Tamandua tetradactyla: one gene and its partners. The protein of the gene in region 3 interacts with the protein of the main gene of each other region in a pairwise test. Links are inferred from orthologs where the notes say so. Each region holds a gene or a part of one and is shown on either strand. Other genes may lie near its edges. The genes, in order: MAFK, WAC, NFE2L2 and MAFF.

The links.
Region 1: the proteins of NFE2L2 (region 3) and MAFK interact in binary tests that used the Homo sapiens proteins (3 or more experiments, as listed by UniProt). The link is inferred for Tamandua tetradactyla from reciprocal best matches to the Homo sapiens genes NFE2L2 and MAFK.
Region 2: the proteins of NFE2L2 (region 3) and WAC interact in a two-hybrid assay, tested with the Homo sapiens proteins (2 studies listed by BioGRID and IntAct). The two-hybrid records come from large-scale screens. The link is inferred for Tamandua tetradactyla from reciprocal best matches to the Homo sapiens genes NFE2L2 and WAC.
Region 4: the proteins of NFE2L2 (region 3) and MAFF interact in binary tests that used the Homo sapiens proteins (3 or more experiments, as listed by UniProt). The link is inferred for Tamandua tetradactyla from reciprocal best matches to the Homo sapiens genes NFE2L2 and MAFF.

Annotation. Positions count from the first base shown.
Region 1 is NC_135349.1:1,081,746-1,088,746, reverse strand, and holds the start of MAFK (transcription factor MafK), read right to left. Parts: upstream 3,014-7,001; 5' UTR 2,888-3,013; coding exon 2,794-2,887; intron 2,165-2,793; coding exon 2,085-2,164; intron 1,500-2,084; coding exon 1,065-1,499; 3' UTR 1-1,064. UniProt on the Homo sapiens protein: Since they lack a putative transactivation domain, the small Mafs behave as transcriptional repressors when they dimerize among themselves.
Region 2 is NC_135327.1:222,265,994-222,273,015, reverse strand, and holds the start of WAC (WW domain-containing adapter protein with coiled-coil), read left to right. Parts: upstream 1-4,338; 5' UTR 4,339-4,369; coding exon of another isoform or gene 4,370-4,380; 5' UTR 4,381-4,382; coding exon 4,383-4,423; intron 4,424-4,777; coding exon 4,778-4,815; intron 4,816-6,028; coding exon 6,029-6,241; intron 6,242-7,022. Other genes in the region: uncharacterized protein LOC143682789, read right to left, coding at 3,537-4,338, 4,370-4,380.
Region 3 is NC_135329.1:149,520,351-149,527,351, reverse strand, and holds the start of NFE2L2 (nuclear factor erythroid 2-related factor 2), read left to right. Parts: upstream 1-3,982; 5' UTR 3,983-4,146; coding exon 4,147-4,191; intron 4,192-4,607; exon of another isoform or gene 4,608-4,797; intron 4,798-5,148; exon of another isoform or gene 5,149-5,332; intron 5,333-5,355; exon of another isoform or gene 5,356-6,547; intron 6,548-7,001.
Region 4 is NC_135333.1:30,623,349-30,630,923, reverse strand, and holds the start of MAFF (transcription factor MafF), read right to left. Parts: upstream 3,007-7,575; 5' UTR 2,741-3,006; intron 2,662-2,740; exon of another isoform or gene 2,597-2,661; intron 2,472-2,596; exon of another isoform or gene 1,096-2,471; intron 1-1,095. UniProt on the Homo sapiens protein: Since they lack a putative transactivation domain, the small Mafs behave as transcriptional repressors when they dimerize among themselves.

The DNA of each region.
Region 1 (7,001 bases), on a different chromosome or scaffold from region 3:
CTCCAGGTGCTGAGGCCTTGCCTGGCCCCCACTGCAGCCACCCTCCCCTCCAGGCCCCACTGAGGGCAGTGGGTCCCAGGTACACCCTGCCTTTGGGTCAATGGGAGAGGAGGCTCCGGCCCCTCCATGGCTGGGGTCTGAGGGCCAGGCACACCTGCACACCTTCCTGGACACACACACCCCACAATGCTCCCAAGAGACCTGGTGCGACAGGCTGTGCCCCAGGCCCACTGCGCACTGGCAGTGCTGCCATGGGGAAACTCACGTCCATAGAGCACGCCCGAGTGTGCACACACATTCACACACATGCGCCCCTGCACTCACGTGCACACACTCATGCATATGTACCCTTGCATGTTTGCACTCCCATATGCATGCAGTCCCACACACACGCATTCGTTACGTTCCTGCGCTCACACTTGTACACACACTTATGCACCGCTACACTCATGTGCACACGCTCATGCACACAATACTCTTGCATGCACGTGTCTACACATGCACACTCCCGTCCACACACACGGGCACACTCCTCCCTGTGCCCCGAGGAACCCACACCGGCTGTGTGGGTGCCGGGAGACCCCGGCTGAACCAGTGGCTGCGCAGGTTAGTGTCCAGCAGGAACACCCCAGGGCAAAGCTGTGGGTCTCTCTGCTCACAGCCCCCCGAGGCTTGGGCCCTGAGCTCAAGAGGCAGCAAAGGGGCAGAGTCATGGCAGGGGGTACAGAGGGGCCGGGGGTGTCAATGGGTTCCATAGGAGCGGGGAGGCCGGATCCTGCCCTGGGACCCCGGCAGGCTCTGCAGGGGGCGGGGATGCGACCGTGTCCTCACACAGGGACCTCAGACCCCCCATCGCTCCTGAGCACCACGGGGGCAGGACCCCGCCCCTGGGGAAGTGGACAGAGAGCTGAGGAAAGCGAGGCGTGCGTGTGTGCGTGTGCGTGTGCACGAGGGACGGGGCGCCGCGGCCGAATTCGCCAGAGCTGGCTCTTCCATTCTGTGCCCCCCGCCACGCCCAGCCCGTGGGGGCTGCTCCCGGGGCCCCCCGCCACCCCGCGCCCGCACTAGGACGCGGCCGAGAAGGGCACCGAGGGCGCGGAGAGCTCGGCGGACTTGACGATGGTGATGACGCTGGTGGCGGCGACCTTGGAGGGTGCGCCCGGGCTGCGGGCCACGGTCCTGGCGAAGGTCTGCAGGGCCTCGTACTTAGCGCGCAGCGCGTCCAGCTCCAGCCGCATGCTGCTGTTCTCGCGGGCCAGCTTCTCCACCTCCTGCTGCAGCTCCACGCGCTGCCGCTCCAGCTCCTCCCTCTGCGTCACCCGCTTGATGCGGCAGCTGGCCGCGTAGCCGCGGTTCTTGAGCGTGCGCCGGCGCTGCTTCAGGCGCGCCACCTCCTCCTTGGACAGGCCGCGCAGGTGCTGGTTGAGCTCGCGCACCGACATGGACACCAGCTCATCGTCGCTGAGCGCCGGGGCGTTCTCGCCCGCCTCCTTCTTGACCTGCGGGCGGGGCAGCGTGGGGTGGGGGTGGGCAGCAGGACGGCGTGACCCCCTCCCCCAGCACAGGGCCCGGGCTTCCCCACTGGGGGTGCTGGCCCCGTGCTGGTGCGCGCGTGAGCCCTGTGTGTGGCCAGTCTGCGCCGTCCCCTCTGGGGCAAGTGGCCCGAGGCCTGTGGGTCTGTCCCGCCCAGCCCCTGGCCAGTGGACAGCCAGGGGGCCCGGGGAAGGGAGGGCCTCAGGGGAATCAGGAAGGCCCTGCGGCCACTTGGTCGTCTCCCCCACCACCATGCAGGCCAGGAGAGGGGTCTGCACAGCCTCTGGGGCTCAAGGCACCCACCGGTCCCACCTCTGACCACAGGAGCATGTCCAGAGCCGGCCACAGGGCAGTTGACTGCCCGGGCACCCTCCACGTATCAGGGCTGGGGTGTCACTAGTCCCCCTGGCTCCACTGGCCTCTTCCCACACCCCCCGGCCCAGAACACCCCAAGCCCGTGTCTGGGGGCTGTGCTTGCTGGCATCCTGCTGGCAGGTGCCAGGGCTGAGCCCCGCCGGGTGAGCAGGGTCCCTGGTGGCCACCCACCTCACCTTCAATGCCTTGTTGGCTTTGGGATTAGTCGTCATAACCTGGGCACAGTCACCGGGACAGGAGGGCTCGGAAAGCACAGCTGAAACACACAGACAGAGGCACATAAGGATGGGCCCGGCCAGGCCCCCCAAGGACTCCCAAGGCCGAGGCGCTGGCTCCTCCAGGGTCCAGGAGGAAACCCCTCGGCACCATCGCGTCCAGCCCCCGCTGCGGCCACTGCTGCCTCCTGCTCCAATGCCACCTCCTGGCCACGGCAGCGCCACCACCTTGGGGGGCACAGGGCGCCGGTCCAGAGGCAGAATGGCCAGCGGCCGCCTCCAGGGACAGCCACACCCACCTGAGGCCCTGCCCGGCCCCCACAGCACCCCTTCCTGGGGAGAGTCCCTGGTCACCTGCTGCCCGAGAGGCCCCCTGGGGAGACGGCGGCAGCCTCAAGCCTCGGCCCAGGGAGGGGGGTAGAGTACCTGCCCCCAGCCCGGCGTGGCCCTCCGGGCAGGTCCCCTATGGCGGCAACAGAGAGCTCTGCAGCTGTGACATCAGCGCCTCCTCGGCAGCCCCGCGGCCTGGCCTGAGGAGCGAGGGCAGCCGGGCTCCCACTGACCGCCGCAGCCTCCCGAGCAGGGCGGTGGCATTGGCCGGGCGCAGGCTGACCGGCTGTCTGGCGGGACCATCCCCGCCAGCTGTCTGCTCCGTGTCACACATCCTCACCGCTCAGAGCCCACCCAGGCAGCCCAGGCATGAGTCCCCTCTGATAGTTGCTATGGTGACCCTGGGAGAGCGGCCAGCCCCCCGTGGTCGTCATGGAAACCGAGAAGCCCAGAAGCAGCGACAGCTCCAGGTCACGTCTGTGCAGAGGCCGGTGGGGGCCAGACCCGCCCTAGGAAGAGGCTGAGGGCTGAGGTTCAGGGATGCCGCTGTCCCCGCCCGCCCCCCCCACCACCAGTCCGAGGCGGGGCTGCACGAGAGTGCACACCAGGAGCTGCGGGGGGGGGCAGGAGCAGGGCCCGGCGGGGGCCCCCATTGCGGAGTGAGCCAGCGGGGCCTCCTGCCGGGAGCCCCACCCCCTTTGCTCCCAGAACCCGCACGTGTGGGGGGCTCAGCGCATGGGGAGGAGATGGCGCAAGAGCCGCTGGCGGCGCCCCCTGGGGATGCCCGTCGGGCGACCGCAGGCAGCCGGCCCGCTCCCGCGGTGAGGCGCCTGCACGCCGGCGCCAGGGGGGCTTTCCCACGTTGAGGGGGCGGCCATCCCCAGATCCCAGCCTGCGTGCCCGGCATAGCTGCGCAGTGAGTCAGCGGCTGTTTACGGAGCGGGCCGTGTTCCCGCAGAGCCGCCTGCCTGGCCCGGGGGCCACTGCCTGGCCTGGCACAGCGCCTCGGAGCGGGGGTCCAGCGCAGGAGGGCTTCTCTGCTCTCCCTGGAGGGCCGGCCCTGGGGCTGGGGGCGCACGCCGAGGGCCAACCTGCCACCCAGCCCCCAGGAGCACGCTACGTCAGGGACAGAGCAGGGAGGCCCGTGCCACATCCCACTGTGGGAGCTTCCTGCCAGAGACACAGTGACCTATGAGGTCATGCAGACGCACACAGGATGTGACTTCCTGCGGCACCATACACCCTGCCCCCCACACCGGCCGGCCAAGTCTCTGCCCAAGGAGGTCGGTGCATCAGTTGGAACACCCCTGCCAGGTCTTCGCCTCGGCTGCACCCCACAGTCCCCACCTCGTCCACGTGCCACCTGGGATCCTCCAGGAGGTGCCGGAAGGGAGGAGCTGTGTGCCCGGTCCCTGCGGGCCAGGGAGGGGAGCCCCCGTGAGTGCCCGCTGGGCCCTGGGGACTGAGCAGCGCCCTGGGCTGTGAAAGGAGCAGACAACAGGGAGACAGGAAGGGCAGGGGTGGGGGACAGGAAGGGTAGGGGGGCAGATGGAGGGTGTGCTACGCCCAGTGCCGTGGGGTGAGGCAGGAGCCGAGGCTGGGCCAGGTGGTGGGGGGTCCGCGCTCAGCGGCGCCTCATAAAGGGCCCAAGTCTCCTCTTCTGGAAATGGTGGATGGACATAAAGGCCCCAGGATCCTCTCCAGGGCACCCTGCACGAACCTCGGGTTCCTGCCCCGGGCTCAGGGGCCCAGAGAACCACAGGCTCCATGTGGCCAGGGACGTCCAGCCCACAACTCTGCTCGGGAAACGTGACCCCACTTCCTGGAGATCCCGGTGTTGCTCTGGGCCGCTCTGGCAGTCAGCAGAAGAGCTCGGACGCACCGGGCCTCGGGTTAGCAGACGGACCGCGGGGTGGGGGCTCGGAGAGCCCTGCACTGCACAGGAGGTGCAGACCCGGGCCGGGCCCTGCCTTGTGCCGAGGCCCCCAGGGAGGTGCCAGCCCGGAGTCGGCTGAAACAGGCATGCAAGAAAACGACAGCCTGCCTGGAAGAGGTGCAGAGAAGGGTTCTGTGTCTCTAAAACAACCGATTTAAAAACAGCAACGACGGATGCCCTGAAATGGACCTCTGCAGACAAAAAAGTCCCAGAGGACTGCACGGTCAGAGGGCACACGAGGAGGGAACATTCTCAAGATCCTCAGGCCACGTGGCGCTGGAGCTGCGGCCAGGGACAGTGCCAGGGTGGGGGGACCCAGGACCAGGCTCCACCGTCACCTGTACTCAGCACCCAGGTGACAAGCAGACTGGACGATGACCCCACAGGCCCCAGGCCCCCCCGGACTCCCGAGTCTCAGAAGAATCGCCAGAGGGGCAGTGCAGAGGAAGCTGCCACTGAGAAAGCCGGCGCGTCAGCACTCGGACGCTGTCCTGCCCTTCAGGTGACTGACCGATGTAGGGGAAGAGGCTGCGTTCTGAACCCAGAGCCAGACGCTGCATCCCGGGGAGTGTCCACTCCAGGCTCGACAGGAAAAGCCGTTTCCTCTAGAGAAAAGGGGACGCAGGGCGGCACAGCTTCAAGTGGATCAGGGCGCAGGGCCTGAACAGACCCCAAACTCACACTGGGGCCCTGAGCCCCCCAAGCAGATCCTCAACTCATGCCAGGACCTGGGGCCCCCCGAACAGACCCCAGACTCACACCAGGGCCCAGGGCTGCCTGCTCCACGCCATGCCCCTTCCAGGAAGCCCCCTGGGACCCTCCGGGGTTGTTTCCCACCTCCAGCCCCCAGCTGGCTCCCAGTGCTCTGACCGGCTTGTCCGGGGAGGGGTCCGGTTCTGGACTTGCCACCATGCCCTGCTTCTCACCGCTGAGATTAGTTGTTTCTTTAAGACACGAGCAGGTGGCTGACCCTAGCAGGGACCCCACCCACTATCTAGGAAAAGGGGGCATCTGCCCAGCTGCCGAGGCTCTCATCCTCACCAGATGAAACGGAGACCTAGACCCTGAGGCCAGAGGCCAGAGGCCAGAGGCCAGACTGCCGCCGCTGCCAAATCACATGTGGGTGGCGACAAACGGGCTGCTTCTGCTCGCCGTCTCCCCATCCAGCCCTTCCAGCCCACCTCATAAAAACAGGGGGCTCGCCACTCCTTTCCTGTCCTCCATGGGCCGCAGATGATGCCAGGCCAGGGACAGGAGGGGCAGGAGGGAGGGTTTGCTGACCAACAGGCTCAGGCTCAAACCCCAGGCAGCAGCATCTGTACAGCCCGATTCCCTCCAACAGGTGCAGCTACACACAACCGGAAACTTCCGTGGGCGCCTGCCTGGCGCTCCAGGGATTGGACGCCTCCCACAAGCCACCCAGCTATACACCTGTCCTGGCCAGAGCAGGGGACACACGCAGGGTGCCCAGTGGACAACCAGTGAACCAAGACACAGGGACAAACTACAGCCCGTCCCGCCCCACAGGTGAGCCTGGACCACCCTGCCCAGCACCCACGCCACCCTGGATGCCCGCCATCGACCCATGCCTGAGAGCTGGCCTGGCCAGCTGCCCTCCTGCAAGGCAGCCTGTCTGCTCGCCTGGAGGACGTCTGGTCACCTTGCCGGGCCATCCCAGGGAGGCCGCATCACTCTGTCCGCTCTCAGGGGTGATTCAGGCAGCGGCCCTAGCTGACGGCAGGCTGGACACTGCACCTCTCTGGCCCAGCCCCTTCTCCTGCTGTCCTGGCTCCTGGGAGACCCCAGTTCCATGGTTTCAACCTTCTCCTGCTCTCCACATCCAGCCCCCACAAATCCTGCAGGAAACCTGCCCACCTCTGCCCCATGACTGCCAGGTTCTGCAGATGCAACCAGCCCACAGACCTCGTCCTCTGCCCCCCGCCAGCCCCTGCCCCATGGCCCCAAGCTCAGGACACCAGGAGCCCTGCAGCCCACTGCCCCCATTGCCACCACCGCACTCCCCCCCTCATCTACCCTACAGGCCCTGCCTCTCCCACCTGGACCACAGTGCCACAGGAGTCCCTGGCTTGGAGCCCCCCAGCACTCCACTCCCCATGTCAGGCTCACTGCCATGGACTTACACTGGGCCCTCTCCCGCTTCTGAACTGCTGTTCCCGCTCCTAGCCTGCCCAGAATGCCCTTCTCCTGCCCCACCACCCAACCTACCCCTGGTTTCTTCCCAGAAGCCCTCCCCCACCCAACACAGAGACCCCTGCCCTGCACGCATAGGTAGTGCCACCCCCCACCCCGACTGATATGCAGCTACCCGCAGCAGGGTGGCCAGCCAGCCTGTGGGCGCCTGGAGGGCAGGGACCATCTCACCCATCCCACACACTCCTAGTGAGGTGCCTGGGCACTGCTGAGGCCGGGTGGACAGCTCAGCACTGCCCTGCAGGGCAGGGGACGCTCAGGCGAGGGGAGCCTGGGAAAATAGGCATGGCCTCCACACCTGTGCCTTGCTTCCTGAGCTCCCAGGGGATGCAGGGCCTCTGGCCACAGACTCCACGGCTGCGGCCAGGTGGAGAAACCCTCTTGCTTCAGACTCCTCGTCT
Region 2 (7,022 bases), on a different chromosome or scaffold from region 3:
CCTTTCCTAAATAGTTATTTGTTGCAGTTGTCCTATTTTTCCTCCTTAATTGAATGAACTCGTATTTGGCTTATGATAGGAGGGAAGCATATCTCGATCACACATCTAGAATATAAGCTATATTCCTCTCGGCAGGGATAATAATGTGAATTATGTAGTAACAGATCCTGTAGGCATCATTTTTTGTATCATTAATTGGCAATAGAGGTAAATTCTGTATCTCCCAAACAGTATATAATTTTAAGTCTCCTCAGATAATAGACACTAGGCACAGCCAAGATTGGAAGCTACAACCTAAACCCTTTGCCTTTCTCTGGCGACACATGAAGCTTTCATTCTAGTGGAAGGGAGAAAACCAGTATGCAAAATATGTAACAAATTAGACAGTAAATGCTGCTAGAAAAATACAGCAGGGTTTGGGAGATGGTGATGGAATGCCATTTACATAGTTACCAGGAAAGACCTCTGATAAGGTGAGATTAGAAGAGAGACACGGAGTGAGCCAAGCAGGTACAAAAGGGAGGAGTATAACAGGCAAAGAGGCAGTACTGTAGAAATCCTGAGGCAGAGGCATGTTTGGTATGGAGTAACAAGAAGGACAGAGTTGACAGAGGCAGAATAAGCAAGTTACTGGAGGTAATGCCAGTGGAAGCAATATACACAGGGCCTTGCAGGTAATTGCAAAAAACTCTGGCCTTTATTCTGAGTGAGATGAGAAACAATTGGTGGGTTTTAAGGCAGAAATGATACGTGACTTAACGAGCCCACTCTGACTGCCCTGGGAGAAAACAGAAGCAAGGGAAGAAGGACGAGCTCATTTAAGAGACCACTGCTATAGGTTCAGGTAAAAAACGATGGTGGCTTGTGAAAAGAGATCAGATTCTGGATATATTCTGGAGGTGATGCTGTCAGGCTTTGCTAATGGAGTCTATGTGAAGTACGAAAGAATCAAGGATGACAAAATATTTTAGCCTCAACTGGAAGAATGGATCTGACAGGTCTTGAGATTGGAAAAACTTGAGCAGAACTTGTTTTGGGGAAGAATTAAAGAGTGTGGTTCTGCAGATATGAAGTGGAGATGCCCACTGGGCAATCAACTAGAATAGACAGGTAGGTATTTAAAAGATCTGGGCTAGAGACTCAAACATGGGTCCCATCCAGTTACAGATGATGGGACTGCCTAGGGAGAGAGTACAGGGAAGAGAGGCAGATCATATTGTGGAAGTTTAACCCTAGGGGAGGGTTAGACAAGGACTCTAAGGAACAGCCAGTAGGAAAGAAAAGAAATTAGAATAGTAGTACCCTGGCAGCTAAGTATGGAGTTTCAGGAAGGAGGGAGTTAATCTATCAGCTCTGTCAATCACTGCTAAGTGAGATGAAGGCTGAAAAATGAAAATTGGATTTGAGAACATGGAAGGTATTGATTATCTTGAGTAAATGGCATGTAAGAATGAAGTCTGACTGTTGTGGATACAGAACAATGTAATATTGGAAGTAGAAATGAAGTTTCTTTGTAAAGGAGAGCAGAGAAATGGCACAGTATCTGGAAAAAGATACAGGCTGAGCTTTTGTTTGAGGATGGTAAGTACGACAGCATGTTTTAAGTTGATAGAAGTGATCCATTTGAGAAAAAAATTGATAAAGAATGAAATGGAAGTCGATACAAAGCGGAAGTTTGGTTTTAGATAGAAACTTAGTTTATCTATCATTTTTGAGGGTGACAGTGCAGTACTACATATGGATTCAAATGGAGTAAGGCTGATAGATACGATGGTTAAAGCAGGTGGAAGTTTTTATTGCTTTGATTCCTTCTGTTCTCAGAAAAATGCAAAATAATTAGTTAGCTACCAGTGACACCATTGAGGAATGACACTGGCAGTCTTAGATGTGAAACAGTTAGAAAGAAGAATAAAGTGAATGGATTAGGGAAATGTAGCCTGAAGGCTGAGGAGCATGAAGAGATTTACTTCAGAGTCAGTTTAGCTGTGTGTTTTTGTCCAGTTCAACTGCTCTCCTAGATATGTAGTAATTAACTAGGACTGTGGTATAGACACGTAAGGTAGAGGAAGAGGGGTGAAAGGAGTAGGGAATATCTGCAAGGAAGGATTCATAAGAAAAGATAATGGACTCTAAGTTGAGCAATGGGATGAGCTTTTAAAAAAATGGGCGTAACAGTGAGGAACACGTTTTCCCCATAGCTCAGACCAGTGCTCTTGTTCATATAGCATTATCAGCAAAAGACATTTGACTATCATAAAATAAATCACGTTTGTATTCTAATCTGATGTCCCCTGCCCTCGATGTATTTGTTTCAAAAGTGTACAAAAGACTTTACTATTGAACTGATTTTGTTTTTTTTTTAATCGAGGACTGGTAGCTATTTCAGTCACGGGCAGCTTTTGTCTTAATTACTCAGTTTATGTGAGCATTAAGTAGACTTTCTCCAGTTCTTAAACAGCAACAACTTCAACATTTGGTAGATGGATTTAATAAGGCTATATAATTATTTTTTTCAATCAGTTGAGAGTTCAGGGTCATTTTCTCCATCATCCATCTCATTAGGCCCAACGATAATTTAAGCTGTTAGCAACCAATTCAGTTAGTTTTTGATATGTTTTTTTTTGAGGAATGTCTCTTGTTTCCCAGTTTGCTTTGTTTTCCTATATACTATAAATAATGGTTGTATTTTTACTTTATGTTTATTACAATCCTTCATGTTAAATCAATGCTGCATGATCGCCTAACAAGAAGTTAACAGGAAAAAAAAATCACCTAAATGGCACCGCCCTCAAGTACATTTTGTTGTTTTGGCGTATCTGTTCGACACTCCCCGCTCCCCACTTACCAATGTTGCTATTATGCCTATAATGACACACAAAAATCTGTTACATTTTTAATTAGCACGGAATTTACAAATGCATTTTAATTCGCCAAAGAACTTATCGAGGAAGAGACATTAGAAAAGAGTAAAATGGGAAACAAAGAAAGGAGAGAGTGAGGGGAGGGCACAGCCAATTTCCCAGGCCCGAGATGGAAAATATCTTTTAAAATGACGTGGCTCAACGCTTTTTCCAAACAGCCCTTCCCCGAATCTCAGTTTAATCCAATTTCTTAATTAACTGCCCAAAGTGGTTCTCCCTCCTCGATCCAGGAATCCCCACCGTACAGCCGCGCAGACACACAGCCTTCTCACAATCTGTTCAATACCCATAAACTCTTTCACTTTTGCCAGTTCTCACTTAGAAAGCTTTCTTTCCTTTATGCTTCTGGGTGTGTGACTTACTTCTCAAATGCCGACGAGCGTGGTAGTAAAAGCCCCAGGCCCGGCGCGGGTCTTGCGCTCCGCGTCCGGCGTGAGCCAGGCGCCCAGGCCTCGTTTCTATAGAGGCCTCGCTTCCCTAAGAGCCGCTTCCCAGGGCTGCAAACAAAGAAAGCTGCTGGTAACCGCCCTCCACTCGCCTCACCGAGGGGTCTTCGACCACCCCACACCCCGAACCCGGAGGGAAGAGGCTGGCGGCCCGAGGGCTCGCCCAAGGTCACCCGCCATTCCCCGCGCCCGCCGCGGGGCGCAGGCGCGCCGCAACGGCCTCCCTCAGTCTGCGTTGGCTTCCGCCGCGCCCCGCCGCCCTCCTCTCTAAGGCGGCTCGCTGACTGCACATCCCGGAGCCCCTACAAACGGCCTCTAGCAAGTCCCTCAGCAAGATCAGCCCCGAGCAGGGACGCTGGCACCGACGTCCGCGCGAACGAAAGGAACAGCAAACGGAAGGAGCCCGTCGGGTCCGAGCAGGCGAGCCAGGCCCGGCAGGAAGAGGAAGACCGAAGTGAGCCGAGGTTTGCCGAAGGCGGTATTCGGAGCCGCGCGAGGAGGGGCGGGAGGAGAGGGCGGGAGAGGAGGAGCGAGGCGGAAACTGCCGATGCTTGCCGAAGGTGGCCTCGTCCGAGTTGCCCGGATGTAGTTGGTGGAGCGGCAGCGGCGGCACCAGCGGCGGTGGCGGCGGGAGGAGGAGGAGGAGGAGGAGGAGGAGGAGGCGGAGAGGGACCAGGCGGCGGCGGCGGCGGCGGGGGGAGGAGGAGAGGAGGCGGCGGAGCAGGAGGAGGGGAAGGCGGAGCAGGCACTCGCTCTCCGCGGGGCTGAGCCGGACGCGTCTGGGTGCCCCCCTCCCCCCGTTTCGCCGCTGCCGCCGTGTAGTTGGCGCCGCCGGCCGGGCCGAGAGTGAGCGTGGTGGCGGAGGGAGATGGCCCGGGAGCGCCGGCTCCAGTAACGGGGAGGTGCTGAGACTCGCCGAGGGCGCGCCGGGCCCTGGTGCCGGCGCCCCGCCGCCCGCCCGCCTCTCGCGGCTGCTGTCCCCCCTCCCCGCCACACACTCACAGGCCGGGCATTGATGGTAATGTATGCGAGGAAACAGCAGAGACTCAGTGATGGGTAAATTGTCTTTTCGTTTCGGGCCGGGCGGCGGGGGGCGGCGGCGGCGCGGGGGGGCTGTTCCTCCTTATCGGGAGCTGGCCGAGCCGCCATTTTTGTTGTTAACCCTGTTCCGGCTCGGGCTGGAGGAGGCGCGGCGGCGGGAGCGGGGGCCGGGCGCGTGTGCGGGAGCTGCCTGGAGGGCTGCGGCCAGCTCGCGTCGCCTCCTCGGGGCGGGCGGGAGCGTGCGAGTGTGCGGGGCTGCCCGCTGGGCCCGCCTGGTAGGTCGCCCGCGGGGAGGGGCGGCCGGGGCCCGCGTTTTCCCGTCCTCCCCCCTCAATGTCTCATGTCGCCGCCTCTCTTCCTGTTTTTCAGCTGTCACGACCGGAGGGGGGACTCGCAGCCTTTCCAGGTACCAGCCGAGGCCGGGGTGGAGGGGTTGGAGGGGGAGGGGGAGGGACTGCTACTCGAGCGCAGGCTTCAGAAGTCGCTACAGGCCTTTCAGTGCTGCAAATCCGAAACTAGCACCGCGGGGCCCTCATAAAATGTTGTGTTTGGTTCCGGGAGCGCTCTCCAACGAGGCCTAGTGACTTATTTTGACAGGTGACTGGAGAAAGTTCACTTTTATTAGAAAACATTAGCAGCCAGGAAGACCCGACTTGATGCTTCGGGTGTGAAGGAATCGATGCTGTAAGCTGTGAGGCATGTTCATCTGTTGTATTGGGGAACTAGAAGTTGATGAGAAGGAATAGAATTCGATCAAGGGCCTGGGACGAGAGAGCCAGTTGATACTCAACTCAGAATTCTGCTGTGAACTATTTCTCCGCATTTGACTTCTTTTGAGTGCACGTAATTGTCTTACATGTGAAAGATAGTTTTTGTTACTGTAAAAATTAAGATCCTTGGATGCTTGTATAATTCACTCTAATATGTGGTTCATGGTATGTAAATTCTTTTTTGTTACTGCAGTTGTTACTGGTAAAGTTTTAAAAATTTATGTTAGGTGTGCCTGAGGTTTCCGGAGTGGGGGGGACATCTGGTAAATGGTTGACAACTATCAGATGACACTAGAAGTTGTGTAAGTGGTTTCTAAGTCTAATCACTTGGAGAAACAGTTCTGTTACTGGATATCAAGACTTGTTAAAGCTCAAGTTAAAAACACTTGTATTTACAAAATGGAGTGAATTTTTTTCTTTTTTTTTATTTGATATTATGGTTTATATCAGGAGCCTTTTATATGAAGATACGCAGTTGTAGAGCAGAAGTTAATTACAGTATTACTGAGTTTCTAGTTTTCTTTGGATTAAGTTTGCAAAAAAGGATTTCAAACATTAACTCCCAGAAAAATTTATTAAGGAATGTATGTGCCAAGGTGTTTGGTTTCTTGTATTTACAAAATGGAGTGAATTTTTTTCTTTTTCTTTTTTTCATTTGATATTATGGTTTATATCAGGAGCCTTATAATAACTTGTCAGCATTTGGGACTTGCCTCACTAACTTAAGGGCAGAATTCAAAATGGGAATTTTAATTTTGTTACATAAACTCATAAAGCTCAGTACACCAAGTTTTAGAGTTTAATCAATTTAGAGAGTTTGAAGTTTCAATTCTTTCTCTTTCTTTTTGGGGGGGTGATGTTTTACAGGCACTTAAGTATTCATCGAAGAGTCACCCCAGTAGTGGTGATCACAGACATGAAAAGATGCGAGACGCCGCAGATCCTTCACCACCAAATAAAATGTTGCGGAGATCTGATAGTCCTGAAAACAAATACAGTGACAGCACAGGTCACAGTAAGGCCAAAAACGTGCATACTCACAGAGTTAGAGAGAGGGATGGTGGTGAGTAGTTTTCCTGTTGAAACTTTCACATATATTTATTATTTAACGTAGTGCTATGCAAAATAATTGGCACCATTAGTATTTCAAGCTTGAGGATGTTACCATGTAATTTTGTCATCAAGGGATTTTATGTCTGTCATGTTATTTGATTCATAAACAGTCCCTGTGTAAAAATAGGATGCTGACCTGAATGTGTAAAATTTAGAACACTGATAAGAATATATTTATGAATATAATCTACCAAATGTTTTATTAAATGATGGGAGAAATACAGAACATTTTTCCCGGAAAGAAACTTTTACTTTTTAAAGGGTTAAAATCTGTTTGATAATTATACATGATAAATTATGAATTCGGAAATTCAGTAAGTTTTCAAGACAGTTCAAAGGTTTACTGAGATTTCTGAGAGTTTGAAAATCCCATTTAAATTTTTGTTGTGAACGTTTAAAATGCTTTCCATGTTCTCCAGGAACTTGTTAACTTTTATTTTCTGTTCATTCATATACTCAGCTTTTTAAAAAGTGAGCTTCCTTTTCGCTTTCTGCTGCCTTTCAGTTATCTCAAGCACTTTGCAGTGGGAGGCTGAGAATGAGTAAATGAAAGCAATTCTTGGTAACTATTTTCAGGCTTAATTTGCCCAAAGTTTACCAAAATACCAGGTTTCATGTCTAAAGCATGCCTTGAGGAAAAATCCAGGTTTTACAAAAGTAATTAAGAAATCTTTCTTTTCCCCACTCATACTGTTTAACAGATGAAATGGTGGAGATAAATAAATAGCATA
Region 3 (7,001 bases):
AGTATATTTGTATAGGTATAATGCACATATAATTCAAAAGCATTCTGTCAAACTTCCGGTTTTACCCCCTTACTTGCTGCATTGCTATTCCTGAAGGGCAGTATCTATTAATAGGAAACTATATGAGTTAAAATCGGCTTTATAGATATACACCTCTTTGCACAAGTAGTTTGTATAATGAGGTATACATATCAAGGAACCAAGGTTATGGGTGTGTTTGCAAATTAATACACCAATGATTTTGAATACTGCTCTACTGGAGTTCAGTTTATTCACTGGGCAGGGACTTCTCAGGTTCAAATTCCCTAATCAGATATTTAGTTGAGTATCTTACATAACTCATATAAATGAAATCATGTCAGGGCCAGAGTCTCTGTATGCATTTATGCCTCCATCTACATAAGTGTCGGAGTATCTGTGTTTCTTAACTGTTTTTTTTTTTTTTGTATGCTATATGGCGGGGTCACATTTAATTATTTTCCCATGTGAGTATCCGTTATTGCAGCACCATTTGCTAGATTTTTGTTTGTTTGTTTTTTGGGAAGTGCATGGACCTGGAATCTGTCTAACCTGGGTCTCCCACAAGGCAGGCGACAATTCTACCACTGAACTACCCTTGCACCCCCTTAACTGTATTTTTTTTCCCTTAATTGTATTTTGATAAGAAAAATATTTTATCATCTATTTAATGGTATGGAAATTGGTGCATGATGTGATCAGGTGATTTAGTTTGTATGGAGAAACAAGTATATATTACTGGAAAAATAACTTCTTTATTCCCAAAGAGGTCAATTAGCTTCGGAGGGATGAGACCCTATTAAATTGCAACTACCATCCCTATATGTGTTCCCAGCGATGGTTAACAAACAAAAAGCAGCCAATAGAACCCTGCCTTTGATATTCAATACATGCTGATTGGCTTATCTATTGCTATGAAACAAACCACCCTAAAATTCAGTGGCTAAAAACAAGTTAATTATATTCTTTCACAATTCTTTGGGTTGACTGGTCTGTCTAGGCAGTTTTCTACGGTCTTGCTTGGAGTCTTTCATGCAATGGTAGATAAATAGCAAGTGAGGGTGGAGTCCTCTGGGGGCTTGACTTCATTGACAAATTTGGTGCCTTGGTTAATATAGACAGATTCTCTCCACTTGAAGTCCCATTTTCCCTATGGTTTCTCTCGCCATTAAGGAAGTCAGACTTCTTACATGATGCCTGACTTCCAAGAGTGTAAATTGAAAGCTACCAAGCCTTCCTAAGTCTTAAACCTGGACCTGGCAAAGTGTCACTTCTGGCCTCCCTTCATCAGCTAAAGCAAGTCAGAGGGCCAGCCTTGATTTGATGTGGGAGAGAACATACAACAATATCAAAATCAGGAGGGGTGGTTCATTGGAGGCCATCTTTGGAAACTAGCGACCCCATATACTTCAACTGTAAGGTGGACAAAGTAGAATTTCAACTATAATTCCAGGAGTTTCTGAATATTTTCTGGCTCAAAGAGGAAGTAAAATTGAGAGGAAGCAAGAAGAAGGAAGAGGCCTCAAGGTGATGGAGGATTTTTAAACAGTAGGTATGTTCTAGGGCCTTGCAACTTGGCAGACTACAGTATGGAGAAGAAGGTGAACAAATGGTCAATGCATGACCTTTATCCTAAATTTGTGAACTCAGAAGGCTTACTTGATAATGCTCATCTTTATGAGAACTCTAGCATAAGACATTACAAGTCTGACACATTACAAGACTATATAGGGGGCTTTCTTTCCAAAGACAGGAAAGAATTCAGACATCAGTGGAAATCTAGGGTCAGTAGATTGTAAAGCCAATTGGGAGAAAAAGCAAAATAGTAGGCTAGAAGAGGATGGTAGTAAAAAGGGCCCCCATGGCATCAGGAAGATGAGAAAAAACAGCACCTCCTCTTTCCTGCTTTCCTGGAACCTCCCGATAAGCAGTATGTGCACCTCCATAGCAGAATTTGCAAGTGTAGAGGGCAAAGCTAGAGCCAAGGCTCTCTCATGGAGACAATTCTTATCTTAGTGTTTCTAAAACTGGAAACCTCTTTGACATGAGTCTTCTGAGACTGGGATTCCCTTTTCTTGTGCTGAACCACCATTCAGTGCCAAATGGCTTTTCCTAATGTCTTTATTTCTTAAACACGTTCAGACTCTCACCATGTTGTTCTCCTCCCTTTGAAAATATGTACTTTGCAGGTGCCTGAAATAATATACCCATAGTAAATTGCAGTTTTGTGTAAGTGAAGATTATTTCATTCAGTCTAAACTCAATGGAACTCTTGTTGCTTAACAAAGAAATACCAAATACTTTATAAACTCCTTGAGGGCAGCAACCATATCATATATGATTTGTGTATCTCCTATCTCCTAGACTCTTTGTCCACCTTCTTATGTAGTAGTTTTAAAAAGTAACTCAAATTGTTAACAATATATTCTTGTCTTTTTTCTTTGATGCAGAAATGTCATTTCATTATGATGTCTCTGCATAGTTCATGTCAGGTTCTTTGTAAATAATTTCTCCCAAGCTTGTTTTCAGTGCGCAGATCCTTTTGCAGGCTTTTCACATAACAGCTGAATGGGTTTATGGCTGAAGAAGCTTGCTTCAATTACAAGTAATTAATTTAGGCTTCACCTTTCTCAAGGATTATTTGAAGATATAATTTACAGGTAAGTCCGGGGCGTGTCAAATTATGCAACCAAGATAAAATAAATTCTACAGTTTATTGGAAAGAGAGGAGGCAGATTCTTGAATGACATAGTAAAACCACTGCCAACACTATCTACTTCACTTCCTTTCTAATAATCCCAAGAAGCTAGAAACTGAAAACCAGTTTAAAAATTAGAAACATCAGGGAAAAAACGCCATTTCTCTTTTGTTTTATATAAGATTTCACAATATTCCTATTTTCAAATACTTAATGTTATGTAATGATTAATTTTTAAATAACTTTTTTAATGTAGAAAGTAATACATATTCATTGTAGGTTTAAAGCATAAGGTAATAAAAGAGAAAGATAAAATCCGTTCACGATCCCACATTTATTATTTTGGTGAACATCCTTAATTTTTTTCCTAGGCATGTTTTTTAAAAACGGGCCCATACTCTACTAACCGTTTTGTAACTTCGTCTTTTTTTTTTTTAACTATATCGTGAATAAATTGAAAATAAAGTCAAGAATTTTAGCATGTTGTAGCGTTACACCATTCCGTGGCGTGGTTTGTGCACCTTGGTAGGAAAAGAAAGCTCGTGGGGTTCCCATTTTTGCCCAGCTCTCGGCGGGTAATATTGACCACTCTGTGACCAAAGGGGACTTCTTCCTTTGACCTTGGCAATCTGACCCTATCGAGAGTGCAAACGTATGGGAGTAAGTAGAGGGCGTTCAGGGTGACTGCAAGCCCGAACTCCCGGTGCGGTCCACACCTCCCCTGGGCAGGACCTGCTTGCCTCCGCCCCGGCGGAAACAGAGGGCGAGAGGGCAGTTCGCGGTGCGCACCACCTGGGTTTTAGCTCTCCTCCCCTCCCCCCGCCCCCCGGGCTGGCGCCACTCTCAGGCGGCGGGGTGTGATAAAGCAGGGCAAGGTTCTGTAACTTCAAATCAGGGAGGCGCAGATCCGATACCAGCGCCCTTGCCCGGTCTTCGGGCGTGTTTGTTACAACTGTTTGAAAGCGCCCAACCCCAGCGACCTTCGGCAAACAACTCTTAATCTCCCGGGTGGAGACCACTGGTCTTATTTGAGAGGAAGACAAACTGAGCGCGGGGACAGAGGAGCTAAAGGAAGCTTGCGCTCACCACCCCGCCAGCCCGCGACCGCCCACAGGGACCCGGGCCCGCGGCCCTTCCGGCGCCGGGACCCTGAGCTCTTGCGTCAGCCGGGCGGGGGTGGGGAATTTTCGCAGGCTTCGCTTGCACCGCAAGCCGGGGAAGGAAGGGCCCAGGCTCTTGCCCCGCCTTCGGGAGGGCGGGAGGCGGAGCGGGGCAAGAGCAACGCCGGCGACTCAGGCGGTGTAGCCGAGCGGCGAGCGCCGGGCAGCCCGGAGGAGTCGCCGCCGTCGCCACTGCCTCCGTGTCCGCGCCTCGGCAGTCGGGTTCAGGGCAGTCGTCGGGGAGCCCCAGCCCACGGTCCCCAGCTCAGCATGATGGACTTGGAGCTGCCGCCGCCGGGACTACCGTCCCAGCAGGTGCTGTCCCTGCCCTCGGGGCTCCGCGGAGGTGCAGGGACCGGGCAGGGGCGGGCGGGGTTCGCGGCCCTAGAGGGACAGCCGCCAGCGTTTCTCCTCCCGTCTGTGGCCGGAGCAGGGACTGCAGCGGCCAAGAACTGGAGCCTGGAGGAGGGTAGCGGGGGCCTAAGGGGGCGCGAGGGAGTGGAGATGAGGTCGGGTGTCCTGACAGACGACGAGTCCTCAGCACCCGAGGGAGCCTGGAGCGGAGGGGTCTGGGGGGGGGGGCGTAACTTGCCGCGTGTCCGCTCCCTAGCGCTGGGACGCGGGAGCCTCCGCCGGTCCCCCGAGTTTGAGCGGCCCAGAGGCTGCAGAACAGGAGGGGGTGGACACCCGCGGTCTGAGCCGGCGCAGCCCGGCCCTTCCGCTGCTGCGCGTCTCCCCCGCCTCGGAGCCGGCAAAAATGTGCCTAGTCACGGGGCCACTCTCGGGGGAGCTGAAGTCTTTGCTAGGCCGGACTCAGAGGCCCTCCTCGGCCACCGCCTCAGGTCTCAAGACCTTCGCGGGTGCGAGCTGTCGTGCAGCGCGCCCACCCCGTTGGGCCGTCTATGGGTACTTCTTTGCAAAGTAATCAGTCACTCCGTCAACTCAGTCTTTGGCCGCCTTGAGCTAGAAAGCTCAGCCTTCAGGGGAGGGAGGAGGTCATGAAGTGTCCATCGCTCTCTAACGCCCCGACGTGCCGCAAGACCCAGCCCCACGCGCATCCTCCGACCGCGGCAAAGGTTTGGGATCCGGAATTCAGGACCCACCCGGTCGGCCCCTCGCTGCCCCGCGGAAAGTGCGGGCGAGGGGCGGACTGTGAAGTCCGAGTTCGCGGCGCCCAAGACTTTTGGTTCCGGGCGCTGTGCCTCCCGGTGGCGCACGCCGCGTGCGTGGCTGCGGCCTGCGTGACAGGGGCCGGTTGGCTGTCACGGAGGCCCTTGGTTGGCCCTTTCCTGCTTTATAGCGTGCAAACCTCGCCGCGGCCAAGGGACAAGTTGGAGCTGTTGATCTGTTGCGCAATTGTTATTTTCCCCAGGGCGGCTTTGTCTTTGGATTTAGGATTTCTGAATTGCAATTCCAAAATGTGTAAGGGAGGATTATCTGTTCTGTGCTGTAAAGGGTAAGAGTTGAGAGTGTAGATTAGAATTTTTGTTGCTTTTAGGGTCATTTTGTTGGCGTTCAGCTATTATTCTCCCCTTGGGTGCCTTATATATGTTTTCTTTTCTGTTTGAGAATTTGCCTCATTTCTTAGCATGTTGATTCTTTTGCAAGGAGGGTGGGAAACTTCTGTTTTCATAATGGTTTGCTAACAAGTTCTGTAAATTGTTATAAAAGTGAAAACAAATTTCCTTTCATACTTTGTAGGAACTTTTTAAAGTAGTAGATATTTGTATATTAGAATTTAAGAAAAAATTTTGGTTGATGGCAATTTGTAACTTGATAGATAGTGATAAATTTGTTAATGCTCTTGAATATAAAGTTTTAGTTTAATCCTGAAACTCTGATGTAAGCTTTTGAGCTATTGACGATGTATTCATTGTGCTGTTGTTTTCTTTAAAGTCTTGGACTTTCCCTCATTAGTGACTGGGATGGTATTCTTCTAGTTCCCGATAGTATGAAGAAGTAAATTGTACTTTCCTATTTAGCTTCTGTTCAAGAGTAATCTGTAGGAATGCTTTTTTGACCAATGCACGTATGAGCCAATGGACTTCAGTTTTCCTGTATTCAGGAATTGTAGTCTAGAGCACTCTATTTCCCACACGTGGGGAAGCAACGTGTAGGAGGATAAATGCACAACTCACTCAAGTCTTTCTGCATTAAAATAACTTGGGCCATTTGAAGTATTTATTTCTTTCTTGCTAACTTGGGATCTTATAAAAAATGCTGGGAAAAAAGTTTCTTTTTCCAGGCAGATTTGAAAGCCCAATGTTTTATTATTTTTTTAATATTTGTTTTTATTCAAGATGACTACTCAGAAGATGATGTGAGAAAAGGAACCCTCTTTTTTTTTCTGGGAATTTCCTCTCTCTGGCTTAACACATTTAAAGGGGGCTTTTGTGTAAATAATATTTCCTCTTTAAATTTTCCTTGAACCTGGGTTAACATTTTTCAGCATAAACTCTTGGGTGCAGAAAGAATTTGGCACTAAGATGATAATAACTGATATGAGTTATTGGGCACTTCCAATGAGCTAGACTGTGTGCTAATTGCTTCGCATGCATAATTTCACAGTCACCCCATACGAAATACTATTATCTTCTTTTTGCAGGTGAGAAAGGAGGCAGAGAGAGGCTAAAAGTTCTGCTTTAGGTGACCCAGCCGTTGAGTCGTGGAGGTAGGACTGAATCTGAGGCAGTCTGACTCCAGTGGCTCTTAAACACTTTAGGACTAGATCAAAACTAGTAAAACTTTAAACAGGAGGAAGTCTCGGGCTTTATAAAGTGGTAAGTTGAGAAAAACTGGGGAAAGAGGGTCAGGAATTTGAAAGATGAATGTAGACACCTTTTCAGGTTACCAAGAAATTTGATAACTGTTTGGGAGGAAGGAGGTAGACCTTGTGATATAAAATAAGAGTAAATACCAGCCTGTCAATGTAATTACCGCACGTGATCCTTTTAAGAAAGACAGAGGCCTAGGTGGTTTTAATTTAGAGAGGCAGAACCATTTGCTAACATAATAATTTTAAAACTTCCTGGGATTTTAACAGTGTCCTTGTTTCTGTCTCCCAATTCCCAGAGATAACTTTCCTTTTGTTAAGTTAAATCTCGTAGTTACGGAAGTTTTTGTTT
Region 4 (7,575 bases), on a different chromosome or scaffold from region 3:
GAGATTTGTAGGCAGAAACCTACAAATCCTACTGTGTTTGGCCCATTTCAAAACCCTGCTGTACTGGCCTCCCCTCAGGCCTCCTGCATGTACGTTCTTTCTCTCTCTCAGGGTCCTTGTGCTAATTACAAATGAATGGGCAGACAGTAAATGCTAAGATATTTAGAATGCATGTTTTCCAAAGGGACAAATTGGGAGTATGTGCGTGTGCCAGTGTGTGAGCGAGGGAGGGTGTCACCTGAGCTCTGAAGAGTCTGCTAGTTTTTGGGGAGGGAGATGCAGCTACAAGAATCCTATAGGCCACCCTTGCGCTTCGTGCTTTCCCAGGGATCCCAGGCCTTTTTCTCTAAGTGTCATGGAGCAATTCCATGAACAGATATCCACTAAACACTTATAGTGTGACAGCCCTGGAGGCCCAAGGACAAGACATAGCCCCCGCCCTTAAGGTCTTTGCAGACTTATCTCTCGGTTGGATCTCTCAGCTCCCTGGTCACCTCCCTGGGGAAGCCTTTCTTGATTGCTCTGGCTAAGGCAGAGTCCTAACATATACTTTCAAAACACAGTGACTTCCTCTGTGGTTTAGCAGTTAGTTAGGTGGCTCTTTGTTTAATTTTGTCTCCTTTACTTGGCAGTTAGCTCCCAGGGGGTGGTTTCTGGGTCTCTTACTCATATCTTATTACCCCAGCATCTGACCCACGACAGAGGCTCCCTGGTGATGCTCCACTAAATGTCCAGACTAAGGGAGCACAGGGGCTGAAGGAGCCCACAAGGCTCCAGGGTCCTAGGGGAGGCCCAGGAATGATTTAATGGGAGGTTAAAACTTTCAGTGCTGATTTTCCATCTGTGACTGAGTCAATTGGCCACTTCCCCTCTTTGCTGATCCCCACTCCTCCCGTCTGACTTTGAGCTTGGGCCTGCCTGGTTCTTCTGCTCCTGGCCACAACCCCTCTTACATGGACTTCACATACCCCTGGACACCTCTCAACTCCCAGCATGGGGCTGTGGGCTCTGCTCTCTCAGTCCCCCTAGGAAATAGGCTGTGTAGAGGTTGCCTGAAATTCCCCATTCTCCCCCATTCTCCCAGCCTGGCTGTACCTAGTTCCTGCTACAGATGGGGATGTGGAGGCTTCCAGGTGTGGGAGCAGAGCTTGCCAGGATTTGAAGATTCAAAGAGGAAAAATGACCCAGTACTTGACTGCAGAGAGCTCGGAACTCCTGCCCTCCATGATTTGGTGGCCCTGGGGTGGAGGAGAACATTTGGACACTCCAGGACACACCCTCTAAGGTGCACAGCGCTGGTACACACACACACACACACACACACACACACACACACAAACACACAACAAATCTCTAGCCCCCTGGCCTCAGGCTAATGGCATGACAGGTGTTTTCTGCTGAGCTGATGGGGATGGGGGTGGCTAGATCCTGGAACCCAAGCCTCACCCATTAACCCTTCATGCACCCAGACTGCTCATCCCACTTTTTGTTGCCCCTTCCTGGGTCCAGGGTGGGTGGGCTGCTTTGAGTCCACTAACTAGCAACTAGCTCTTAGGACCTAGCTGTCATTCGGTCTGCTCGGTTCCACTAGAACTACTTGTGACTTGAAACCTTTGGGAAGGTGGGAACTAGCTTGGAGCCATCCTCTGATCTCACTCCTCCAGCCCCAGCAGGTACAGTGTTCCCACTCAGATGTGCCACCCAAGAGTGTGCCAGAAACTTCCACAGAGGGAAAGCCTGGGACTCCCCACTACCTAATCCCCAGTATTGCATGTGTTTTCTGGGCCTCCCTGTTTCACCTGAGACTGACAGATGGATAGACCAAGGGAGCTAGAAAACCTGGGGACCAGGACCCAGCTCTAGTCCACATTGTTGCCAGATCTACCAGTGGCTAGGATGGGAGATGGCCTCCTTTCACTACCCCAGCAGAGCCGGGTGGGGTCTCTGATACCTCGCCCCACCCTGTGGCTGCAATCACCAGCTCACATGTAACAAACACCACAGTCACACAGTAGCCGGGCAGGGAAAGTCCAGGGAAAGCAGGGGCCAGGACCCAATGGCTTTTGAGAAGGGGGCAGCTAGAGCTAGAGTCCCGACCTGTGTCACCAAAGATCGGGCCGCTTCCTTCGCCCAGTCTCTATTCCGTGTTTACTCATTTGGACACTCCAGGACACACCCTCTGAGGTACACACACACACACACACACACACACAAACACCGACGTACATCCGCGGGGCACACCCTCCGAGGTACACAGCGATGGCACGCGCGCGCGCGCGCGCGCACACACACACACACGCACCAAGGTACACCCGCACGCGCGCACAAACCAGGCAGGGACCCAGGACGCTCGCCAGAGAACACACACGCACGCCGCCCTGGACGTAAACAAACCGCGCACGCACTCCCGCGGGCCCGGGTCCAGCGGCTGTTCCCCGGGAGTCACGTACGTACGCGCGCTGCCCCCGCCCCCGCCCGGGCGGACACTGACGCTCGCCCAGCTGCGCGGCCCCTTCCTCCCGGGCTTCGCGGCATCCCGGCCCCGCGCCGAGGAAAGCGCCCCCACCGCCACCCCGGACCTCTGCCCTGCCCCCACCTGCCGGCCGTCGGGGAGGCGGACTCAGGGGCCGCTGACGAGCGAGCCCCGGGCGCCCCGCCCCAGTCGCGGTCCTGGGGCGCGGAGACCCTTCCGGCTCGGGCTCCCGCGCGCCGGTGCCCGCCTCGGGCCCGCGTCGCTCACCGGACTCGCCGCCCGCTGCGCCTGGCGTCCCCGGCAGCGCGGATCCTGCTGCTGTCCCGCTGCTGTCCGGCCCGCGCCCTGGCCCTTCTCCCCTCCGGTCTCGACCGCGGGTTGCTTGGAGCCCGGAGCCCGGGAGCGTGGCGCCGAGTTTTGTTGTCGGGTGGGCGGCGCGGGGGGCCGGGGCCGCGCAAAGTTGTAAGGCGAGCTTCCCGGAATTACTCACGCACAGGATTCCTTTCATTCATAAAAACCCAGTCATGCGGTGACGTCACCGTCCGGGCCAACCCCCCCCCCCCCTACTCCCCCCACTCCCCACCCCTCGCGGTCCCGGAGCGGCCGCCCCGCCCCCTGCGCCCCCGCCTCCTGGGAGTCCCAGCCTCTTTTCCAGCGCGCGCTGCCTACGGTCACGTGACACCCCGCGGCCGCGTGGGTGGAGCTGTCATTTGCCTCATTTTACAGCCGACGGGCTGGGGCCTCTTCTCCTTTCGACCTACACTCTCCGCCTTGGTGATCTCATCCAGTCCCGTGGTTTTAAATGCCGTCTATGGGCCCATGACCCAGATTTATATTTCCAGAGCAAGCAGTTACTCTGAGCTTCAGAATCGTATCGGATTGTCCACTCTGCGCCTCCACGTGGCTGTCAGGCAGGGGCTACACCCCAACACGGCCCAGCTCCCACCTCCACCCCCAATCTCTCCCACTAGTTGTTCAAGCCAAAAAACCTAAGAATCTTGTGTTTCACACTCTCTGGCTTAACACCCTTTGTGGCTTCCCTTTGCACCAAGTATGTCAACTCTCCACCCCTGGCTTAACACCCTTCCTGGCTTCCCTTTGCACCAAGTACATAAACTCTTCTCCCCTGGACCCACAGGGCTCTGACCATGCGGTTGTCCAGCCTCACCCACTGAACTTAAGTCACACTGCCCTTCTCTCTGTCCCCCAAACATGCTCAGCTCCTTCCTGTCACAGGCCCTGTGCACTTGCTGTTTCCTCTTCTGTTCATTTGCTGGGCTCTTTGTCATAAGCTTAGATGTCAACTCCTCCAAGAGGTTTTTCTTCACTGCCCTGGCTAAAGAAGCCCCACCTCCAAAATTTGTTTTATATAACCTTATAATCTCCATAGGATATTACTTGTTTATGTATTTGCTTACCATTTATTATCTGTCTTCCCACGCCAGCATATTTCATGAGGGCATGGATCTTGTCTGTCTTATTCACTCCTGCATGTCCAGTGCCTAGAACAGTGCTTGGCACATAGTAGGTCCTCATTAAATGTATATTGAAGGAATAAATTAGTGGGGAGGCTGTGAGAGTTAAAGTGATTGTTTTCCAAAGTCACCCAGTTGGGAAGTACAAGACCTGGAATTTGAATCCAGGTCTGACTGATTCCTGATCCAGACATTTGGAGCTATGCCCCAGCTGGGTGGGGCCTGGCAAGAACGTAGTTCAAAGGCCTTGGGGAAAATGGTTCACTTGCTTCCCTAATGGCCGAATGTTGAGAAAGCTTTGTTTAAGCACTCAAAACAATCTTCCCAAACAGTTGCCCCCTTTGTACATCTGCATCTCTAAGGACAGGGATAGGAAAATTCTCAGTTTTAGAAAGTGCACAATTGTGATCGCCTGTCTTCTCTTCCCCATCGTCTCTGAGCTCCTCGAGAGTGGAAGCCATGCCTGGCATGTGGTAAGTGCTCAGCTAGTGAGTGAGACCCCAGGGAGCCTGAAGCCCCCCAGACAGCGTGACGCCGAGATGCTTTGCTCCCGTCCTCAGCCTAACTGTCGGGGGTCAGCACCTCAGAATTCACCATCCAGACACTGCTTCCCATGGACGTGGTTTGTTTTCTGGTCAAGGGTTGCAATGTCTCTCCAGCTCGTAGGGGCTCCCACCAGCCAAATTTGGGACAATCTGAGCATCAAAATAAATAGTGGAAATAATAAATTATAACCCATGGTCCATACTGATAAGCAAGCAAGCAGGGAAAGTGCCTCCTTAGAGCAGAAAGAATGATGGAATTAGAAAACGGATGTTAGTAATAATGGATTCCAGAAAAATCATCAATGGATACTAAAATTTGCATTTGAAAACTTGATGAGAAACAAGAGATTTACATAGTTTCAGAGTATTTCTCCATAAGACAATTAATTAAAAAGGGGGAAAATAGTAACTCTGCAGGGGAGAAACCTGCCAGATGCCAGTTCATCGAGTGACCAAAGTTCCTGTCAGGTAGGAGTCAAATGGACACATTTGCCCCCTGAAATGATGCATTGAAAAGCATCATATCATGTCGTGGATCTCTCTGCCAACAATGCACACAGAGAATCTGATCATGACGATGCATCGGACAAATGCAAATGGTTTCTATGAAATAACTGTACTGTACTGTTAAAGAAACCAAGGTCATGAAACAGAAAGACACACGGAGGAACTGTACCAGATTGAAGGAGTCTAAAGAGACGTGGCAACTGGATGCTGTGTATGATTGAGAATTTTCTTCCTTTTTTTTAAAAAAATATTCCTATTGATAAATCTTAACACACATTTCTATACATGACGTATAATCAATGGCTCACAATATCACCGCATAATTGTGTATTCATCACCATGATCATTTTTTAGAACATTTGTATCACTCCAGAAAGAGAAATAAAAAGAAAAACAAAACTCATACATACCATACCCCTTACCCCTGCCTCTCATTACCACTAGTATTTCCATCTACCCAATTCATTTTAACCTTTGCCCCCTTATTATTTGTTTATTTTTTATACATATTTTTTACGTATCTGTCCATACCCTAGATAAAAGGAGCATTAGACACAAGGTTCTCACAATCACACAGTCATATCACAAAAGCTATATCATTATGCAACTGTCTTCAAGAATCAGGGCTACTGGAACACAGCCCAACAGTTTCAGGTACTTCCCTCCAGCCACTCCGATACACCATAAACTAAAAAGGGATATCTATATAATGCATAAGAATAACCTCCAGGAGGATTTTCTTTTGCTATAAAGGACAGTTTTAGAACAACTAGTGAAATCTGAATCAAGTCTGCGAATTAGAGAATGGTATTCTTTCAAGCTCAATTTCCTGATTTTGATAATTGCCCTGTGGTTAAGTAAGAGAATGTCCTTGATTTTAAGAAACACACACTGAAGTTTTTAGAGGTAAAGGGACATCATGTCTGTAATTGACTCTCAAATGGTTCAGAAAAAAAGATTTGTAGAGATGTAGATGGGTGGATTATAGAGCAAATGTGATATAATAACATTTGAGGAATTTGATTGAAAAGCATACAATAATTCTTTACTATTCTTGCAATTTTTCCTTAAATCTGAAAGCATATCATAATTAAAAATTTTTGTTAATGTAGGGGCTGTCAAGTCAGCCTGTGTGTTCAAATCCTAGCCCTGCCTCAGTCTCCTCCTCTAAACTGGGGTTATAAATAGCACCTGCTGCATGAGTTGTGCAAGTGTCTGGTACACAATCAAAGATCAATAAATATTGAGTTAGAGGTGAGTCCTCTGGAGTCCCCTAGAACACTCCCTTTGGGAAACCTCCTTCTTCCCCATGTAAGTGCCACAAAGTCAGTGATGGCCCAGCCCCACCCTGCTGAGAGACCCCCACCTCGCGCCCGTAGGGACAGGTCCTGCTGCCAGTTTGTGGGAGCAGCAGAGGTCTAACTGGGCCGGCTCGTCCCCTATTCCCCTGCCTGGAGGTCTAAAACCCCAGAGAGCACCCGCTACGTGCCTGCGGACCCCTGGCTCACAGTGGGGGTCTGGCCCAGGGGAGGTGCTCAGTCCTGCTGCAGGGCTGGAGCTGAGAGGCAGGCTGTGCTGGTACGAACTCACAGCCTGGCTAACGCCAGGGTGGGGCATCCCTCTTGCTCAGCCTCAGTCTCCCCACCTGCAGAGTGAGAGCTTGGGATTAGGTCAGTGGTTTTCACTCTCAAGCTACAGTAACCTTTCTTTAAATGAAGGTCGGCTTTGCAGTGTGTCCCACTCTGTAAAGCAGCCAGAAGCTGCACTGACACAGAAGGGAGACAGCCAGGCCTGGCCGGAAGATTTCCCGGTTGGATGTTCTCTAAGACCCTTCCTGCACTAACATTCGATTTCCAGGCCCCCATGGGCTCCTGTCCCAGGGACTCTTGGGTCCTCCCTCATCGGGCTGGGCCTGGTCGGGTCTTACATTTCCCATGGATCCTTCTGGATCTGGGCAGGAGTGATGTCAAAGGGACCCCTGTCAGCACCTTCCGACACCGCATCCTATTTGGGGTGTGTTCTGGTTTGCTAGCTGCTGCAAGCAATACACCAGAAACAGAATGGCTTTTGAGAAAGGGAAATTTAATAAGTTGCTAGTTTACAGTACTAAAACTGAGAAATTGTCCCAATTAAAGCAAATCTATAAAAATGCCCAAATTAAGGCACCAACAAGTGGTTACCTTCACTCAAGAAGACCACTGAAGTTCAGGGTTTCGCTCTGAACTGGAAAGGCAGATGGTGAACACGGTGACTTCTTCTAGCTTCCTCTCCGGGCCTCTTGCTTCATGAAGCTGCCCCCAGGGGCATTCTCCTTCTTCAGCTCCAGCGGTCGCTGGCTGGTGACTCTGCCTCGTGGCTCTCCCGTTGTTCTAAGAAGGGACTCTCTCCCTCCTTCTTTTTAAGGATTCCAGTAAACTAATCAAGACCCATGTGAAATGGGTGGAGTCACATCTCCCTCTATTCAAAAGTTAATACCCTAAAAAGTAAAATAAAAATTTGAAAAAAAGAAGAGAAAAAGTTAGAACCCACAATTGGGTGAGTCACGTCTCCATGGAGATAACCTAATCAAGTTTCC